2 linked regions of the Cricetulus griseus genome follow. The protein of the gene in region 2 purifies or fractionates together with the protein of the main gene of each other region. This does not show direct contact. Links are inferred from orthologs where the notes say so. Each region holds a gene or a part of one and is shown on either strand. Other genes may lie near its edges.

Region 1 (3,815 bases), on a different chromosome or scaffold from region 2:
AAGTTCCAGGACAGCCAGGGCTACACAGAGAAACCCTGTTCCAAAACTAAAAAGAGTGCTGTTGTCTGCAGTTCACCAGAACCAATTTCCTGAAACTTGGATTTGATGTTAGTATCTTGCTTTAAATCTTTGATCTAGCCAGGCAGTGGTGGCACACTCCTTTAATCCCAGCACTCAGGAGGCAGAGGCAGGCAGATCTCTTAGTTTGAGGCCAGCCTGGTCTACAGAGTGAGTTCCAGGAGAGCTAAGGCTGCACTGAGAAATCTTGTCTCAAACCCCCCCCAAAAAAAAAAAAAAAAACCTTTGACATGCTTTTGAGAACTTTTGCCACCCAAGTGCTGGGATTAAAGGTGTGCCCTACCACCACCTGCCAAGAAACACTTTCTAGAATTTGGTTTCCTTAGAGAATTGTCAGCCTGAGCCTCCCTCCCTCCCATATATCTTCTCTCTTTGATGTTTAACTTACCTGACTGTGAGTAAAGTTCCCTTGACACTTTTGAATTTGGGGTTGGTATTTGTTTGCTTTGTTCTTCGAGACAGGGTTCCTCTGTGTAGCTCTGACTGTCCTGGAACTTGCTATATGAACCAGGTTAACTTCAAACTCAGAAAGAGCCTCCTGCCTCTTCCTCCTGAGTTCCGGGACTGAAAAAAATTTTTTTCTTTTTTTCCTGTTTTTTGTTTTTTTTTTTTTTTTCACCAAGCATAGACTGAAAACAATTTTTAAAAAATATTTAACTTTATGTGCATTGGTGTAAGGATACCAGATCCCCTGGAACTGGAGTTACAGACAGGTGTGGGCTGCCATGTGGGTGCTGGGAATAGAACCCAGATCCTCTGGAAGAGCAGCCACTGCTCTTAACCACTCTCTAGCCCCCAGTTGTGATCTTTTAAGGCCGACCCAGAGGCTGCTTCTGAGGTCTGACCAGCCCTGTACTTGGGTTGTAATTAGCTCCACTGTGTGTGTTCCCATGCTTTGCTTTCACCTCTGAATTCTACTTCCTGTTTGACACATGCTGGATACCCAGTTAAGTGTTTGCTATTCATGGCCCATTCTCCAGCAGTCCTCCAGGTGGGTATGACATCTTCCTTTCACACAGAAGAAAACCGGGTCAGGAAACCCCACCAAGACTCCCTAGTGACAGGAACTAAGCTTTGAAGGCCCAAGCATGCCTTTCTCCACATAGTGGAGTGTTTGAGTGTGTGTGTGTTCTCCATAGTGTCCCCAGTGCCAGCTACAGTTTTCTTCTGTCCTGAAAGCGATTAGTATTTTATTTGAGTAAGAGTAGGAACACTAGACTGTTCAAATCCATTATTCATTGGTGTCTTTTAAAGAGGTGACCCACTTTTGTTGTCTTGTCTCTTTGCATGACAGAGGTTCTCTGTATGTCTTGTTCTAGCTTTTGCTCTGCATGCCTGCAGGAATGTCTGAAGCCGAAGAAACCTGTCTGTGGGGTGTGTCGCAGCGCTCTGGCACCTGGCGTCCGAGCTGTGGAGCTCGAGCGACAGATCGAGAGCACAGAGACTTCTTGCCATGGCTGCCGTAAGAATGTATGTGGACATAACATGGAGAGTCCTTGTCTTTCAGTGATGAGATGGTAAAACAGTGCAAGTGTCTGAAGTTAGAGCCTGGAGTAGTGATAAGAGCACAAGTGCATGCCTGCTGTTTGTGGTGGCTGTGCTGCTGGGGTTTTATTTTTTCCACAAGCTTGCTGGGGTTTTTTGTTTGCTTGTTTGTTTTTTTCATGAGTTGGTTTAGTGATTTATAGATTTTACCTTTGAAATCCATAGAAATAAGCTTCCACCCCCATAAAAGACCCATCTTCAGTTGGGGAGTGGTACATACCTCTACTCTAAGCACTTGGGGACAGAGGCAGCAAAGCTAGGAGTCCTGAAACATCCTAGGTTACCGAAGACCTACCTCAAAGTGTTAACTCTCGTGTGCTTTCTATTTTAATTAGAATATAAGGGTATTTCATGATTTTTAAAAATGTATATAAAATGAAGTTAGTGTCTCAAAACACCTGAGGCTAGGGGTGTAGTTCAGTAGAGTGCTTGCCTAGCATGCAAAAAGCCCTGGTTTCTATCCCAGCACTCTGTGTGGTAACGGGAAGATCCAAAATTCAGGGCCAACCTAGTATACATGACTGTTTCAAAACAAGAAAAGAAAAATCTGCACTGAGCTCAAAGGAAAGCTTTCGTAACCTGTCTCTGGACTCATAAATTCACTGGTTCTGTTTTAAGCCTTGAAAGACCCTGAGTTAGGGGTGTGAGGTGGAGAGTGCACTAGTAGTGTCTACCTACCAGTGGGCTGTGCCCGTGCCTGTGGTGTGCTTGCTTGCACAGCTCACTGCTGCTGGGAGCACAGATAACTGGTACTTTATCTTCCTTATTGATTTTAAGTCATTACAGTTTTATATTCCAGACAGTAAAAAAAATAAATAAAACACCACTGTTTGTTCCTCCATCAATCCCTCTTTGAAAGGTGGATCAGTTGGCTGTATGGTATTGCACACTGGTGACCCTGGCACCCAGGCTGAGGCCAAAGGATAGTTTTGCATTTAAAAAGCTGTTCAGCACTTTATACCTTTAGGTGTAAATGTGTACAAACACAGTGAGGGCACACACCCCTGCTACTTAAATTCTTTCTTTCTTTTTTTTTTTTTTTTTTAAGATTTATTATATATACATCATCCTGCCTCCACGTATGCCTGCACACCAGAAGAGGGCACCAGATCTCATTACAGATGGTTGTGAGTCACCATTTGGTTGCTGGGAATTGAACTCAGGACCTCTGGAAGAGCAGCCAGAGCTCTTAACCTCTGAGCTATCTCTCCAGCCCTCTTTCAACTTTATATTTGAAATTTTTGTTTTACTTCTTAGATAGCTTTGTACTTCGTCATCTTTGTTTTGCTTTTTTAGACAAGGTCTCATCATCTGGCTAGCTCAGACCTTGCTATGTAGACCAGACTGAACTTGAACTCAGAGTTCCATCTGCCTCTGCCTCTCAAGAGCTGCAGCATTAATAGGCATGAGTTACCACAGCCAGCTGAGTCTCATTATCTCTTTATTTCCACAGTCTCAATGCTACCACTGGCTGGCTTGTTTGGTTTGTTGGGAGTTTTGCTTTTGTTCTTTTGAGACAAGGTTTCTCTGTGTAGTTCTGATTGTCCTCAAGCTCTATATGTAGATGAGGCTGACCTGAGACTCAGTGAAGACCCACCTGCCTTTGCCTCCAGAGTGCTGGGATTAAATACTTATACCACCATGCCCAGGTTGGTGGGTGGTTGGTTGGATTTTTTTTTTTTCTTTCGTTAAAAAAAGGTTGGCCTTAAACTGATCTTCTGCCTCCATCTCTGAAGTGTTGAGATTACAAATGTGAGCAGTCATGCCTAGCAAGCTTCTTTCTCTCCTCCCTTTTATTTACTTAAGATTTATTTACTTCTATGTATATTGGTGTTCTGCCTCCATTTATGTCTGTATGAAGGTACCAGATCCCCTGAAACTGGAGCTATGACAGTTATGAGCTGCCATGTGGGTGCTGGGAATTGAACCTGGGTCCTCTGAAAGAGCAGCCGGAGGCCTTAACCATTGAACCATCTCTATAGCTCTTTGTTCTTTTACCCAGGGTCTCTTGCACCCTCAACTGGTCTCAGACTCATTTTGTCTAGGAATAACCTTGAACTCTGAACTTTGAGCATTGCAGTGTAGATGACCGTCGAATGGATGTATCTTTTCCCCTCCGTATTTCCAGAGGGGTTTAGTATTGGATGCACTGTGAGACTCTTACAGTGTCTATACAAGCCCATTACAACATT
Region 2 (3,332 bases):
GCCTCCAGGGGCAAGAGGGCTCCCCCCTCCTCCTCCCCCCCTGCCCCCTCCACTTCCTCCTCGTCTGAGGGAGGAGGCTGAAGAACAGGAAAGCACCTGCCCCATCTGCCTGGGGGAGATCCAGAATGCCAAGACATTGGAGAAGTGCCGGCACTCATTCTGCGAGGGCTGCATCACACGGGCCCTGCAGGTGAAAAAAGCCTGCCCCATGTGTGGCCGATTCTATGGGCAGCTTGTGGGCAACCAGCCCCAGAACGGACGGATGCTGGTCTCCAAGGATGCCACCCTCCTGCTACCCAGCTATGAGAAGTACGGCACCATTGTCATCCAGTATGTCTTCCCGCCCGGTGTCCAGGGGGTAAGAAGAGCACAGTTCTCCCTGCCTATTAGTTCACTTTCTGACCTAAGAAAAATAGGTTATTCGGGGAGTATGTCATTAGACTTGACACAGTCTTGCTGTTTCCCAGCATGCTTTAGGAATTGGTGCTCTGGAGCTGGGGGCGGGGGCTGTCTTCTTGAGGCCCAGCTTTTTTATCACCATGACCCAAAGGCAAATGTAAAACTCAAGAATGGGGGTTAGAGTGTAGTTCAGTGGTAGAGCGCCTCTCTATAAGATGGGGACCCCTGAGTTCAATCCCTGCCCCCAAGAAAACCAAATCAAACAAGGAAAAAAAAAACCTCGAAGTCATGTCTGACAGAAAGGCTTGAACACTAGTAGCTGGACTCATGTGGCTATGACAGGCATTCTCCGTGGAGGGAAAGTCTGGAGTTGGTGACCCAGATACAGGCAGGCACACCAGGAAGGAAGGGACCTGGCCATGCCGAGCGCTGGGGTGCCACTCTGTTCCAGAGTATGAGACAATAAACGCTCGACTAGAGTTGCAGGTAAACGTCTTTCTGTTGGACAGAGTTGTGTACAGCTGGAACTGAAGGGAAGAAACGGAAGCATGGAAACACGAGGCAGTGGCAGAAGCATTAGTATTATAGGTAGAGGGAATGCCGAAAGATAAGTTTTTCTTGTTGTCGAATTTTTGCTGAGTTGTCTGGAAAGTAACCTCCATTGCTTCTGAGAGTCCATTTGTTCCCGAATTGAGACTTGAGGGATTAACAATTAAGAATTATGTCCAGAAACAGGCTTACTGCCCAGACCCCAAAGCCATCTTTTCCTGGAAGGCTGTGGGTCTGTTGGGAATGCACAAAAAGACTGGCCAGAATGACCCTCTGCTGGTGCCCAGACCTTTGAGGTGGCCAGCTGCCCTCCGCCTACTCTGTCTCTTCTTCCACTCAGGCTGAACACCCGAACCCAGGAGTTCGGTATCCTGGTACCACACGGGTGGCCTACCTCCCGGACTGCCCCGAGGGCAACAAGGTGCTGACCCTGTTCCGGAAGGCTTTTGACCAACGTCTCACCTTCACCATCGGCACGTCCATGACTACAGGGAGACCCAATGTCATCACGTGGAACGACATTCACCACAAGACCAGCTGCACAGGGGGACCCCAGCTGTGCGCCTCCTCCTCATCTGCCTCCCCTGCTCCCTCCCCTCTCTCCATTTCCACTCTGGGAGAGTCATCTACCCCCTCCGCTGGGAGTCTCCTAACTGGAGATCACCCACCTCCCTCACTCTGTTTTCATCCTAGTCCCCATGTACTCAGCTGCAACAAAACAAAAAGCCTGCAGATTCTGGCCTATCTTGGTTTTGGAGGTTCCCTCCTCATGGGAACTGGGGAGGGGTCTGAATTTGGCCTCTACTGAGTCACTCAAAATGAGGGTGGGTATTAATGAACAAGTCCACCCAGCTAACCCCGACCCCCATTTCTCTTTGCCCCAGGTTTGGGTATCCGGACCCCACCTACCTGACTAGGGTGCAAGAGGAACTGAGAGCCAAGGGTATCACAGATGACTGAAGGACACCATCCCCTTTGCCAAGGCCCCTGCTGTCCTCTTCTACTGGGATCCAACAGAAGCCTCTGTTCTCTCTTTCTCTGCCCCCACACCACCCACGAGGGGATTTGTCTGACTGGGGTGGGAGTTCAGTGGGGAAGGGGACAGTCCCTTCCCCTGCCCCCCTTTGGCCAAGTGCTCCAGTGCCCTTTGAGCCACTCCCCTCCGGCAGAGGCTGGCTTCCCAGGCTCCCCTCCCTGCATTCCCCGTGTACATATTCTCTCTGCCCCCTGCCCCTCCAGTGTCTGTGGCTTTTCCTGGTATGTACTGTGCTCCAGTCACTGAGCTGGGAAAGGATCTGGGTAGGGACGATGGAGGTCTCTTCAACTCCAGCCCCTGAATACGGTACTGGTTCACCTTGGACTGATATGAGCTGCCTCCCGCTCCCCCCCAGCCAGCTGTGTGTTAAGATAACAGTAGTCCTACCTTAACGGATCCTTTCTCTCCTGTGTCTGTCTGTCAGTCTTTCTCTCGCTCTTCTCTGCCCCTATAAGGAGCCTCCTCACCCTGTTCTGGAATTGCTGCCAGACTGTAGCTTTTAATTTAATAAAAATAAAGTAAAATATGCAACTCTATGCCACACCCGTCCTCTGTTCCTTGGACAGGGTGGAGGTGGGGAGCAGGACCCGCTGAGAAGGAGATGAGGGAATGGGAATCCTCGCATGCCTGCACAGCCCCTTTACCTCCTGGGACCCTGGGGAACAGGATGGAACAAGTGCGGGGCGCTGCAATAACCCTGCAGAGCCCTAGGCCACACTCCGATGGATGGAATCCGGATTAAGAGGGGTTTGTTTGTTGTTCAACTCCGTTTGTGGAGAAAGGACCAACCCTACCCTTTTTGCGAAGTTTGGCTGCGGTGGGAGTCGGGGCGGAGCCGGGCAGGGGGGCGGATTCGGCGGTAGCAACTCCCCGGACGCACGCAGGCCTCAGAGCCCCCCAGTTTCCGTAGCCCCTCGGCCCTGAAACCTGAAGCAGGGTAGGGGTCCAGCATGAAGCCCCCGGACCGCCCCACCCCTGGCCGCACTGACCGGATACTGGGGGTCATGGGGGGCATGCTGCGCGCATGCGCCGTACCCGGGCAGGAGGGGGTAAGGAGGAGGGACCGCCGTTGGGGTCGGGGGTCTTTAGGGGACTTCAGGAGAAGTGCACTCCGCGATTCAGTTTACCTGCAAACAAAAGTTATATGGAGCAGTCAGTCGGTCGCAGGGATCCCTAAGTTCGGCTATAAGGGCCACAGGCCAAGCAAGTTCTTGTTGAACCCTTCAGAATTGTGTGCAGTTTGACAGCAGGGAGAGGGGAAGGGGGAGGTCAAGGCAGCCTAGGAGGGGGTTCCTTACAGTGACTCTGTCCCGGCAGCCCCCGGAGAGAGTTCCCCTAGGGCCTGGGA

The links.
Region 1: the proteins of Dtx3 (region 2) and Rnf114 purify together in Homo sapiens (affinity purification with mass spectrometry; 3 studies listed by BioGRID and IntAct, counting the BioPlex papers as one, with this or other methods). This does not show direct contact. The link is inferred for Cricetulus griseus from reciprocal best matches to the Homo sapiens genes DTX3 and RNF114.

The regions. Positions count from the first base shown.
Region 1 is NC_048599.1:11,903,234-11,907,048, reverse strand, and holds part of Rnf114 (E3 ubiquitin-protein ligase RNF114), read left to right. Parts: intron 1-1,397; coding exon 1,398-1,548; intron 1,549-3,815. UniProt on the Homo sapiens protein: E3 ubiquitin-protein ligase that promotes the ubiquitination of various substrates. In turn, participates in the regulation of many biological processes including cell cycle, apoptosis, osteoclastogenesis as well as innate or adaptive immunity.
Region 2 is NW_023276806.1:130,524,075-130,527,406, forward strand, and holds the end of Dtx3 (probable E3 ubiquitin-protein ligase DTX3), read left to right. Parts: coding exon 1-358; intron 359-1,288; coding exon 1,289-1,756; 3' UTR 1,757-1,832; coding exon of another isoform or gene 1,833-1,908; 3' UTR 1,909-2,520; downstream 2,521-3,332. UniProt on the Homo sapiens protein: Regulator of Notch signaling, a signaling pathway involved in cell-cell communications that regulates a broad spectrum of cell-fate determinations.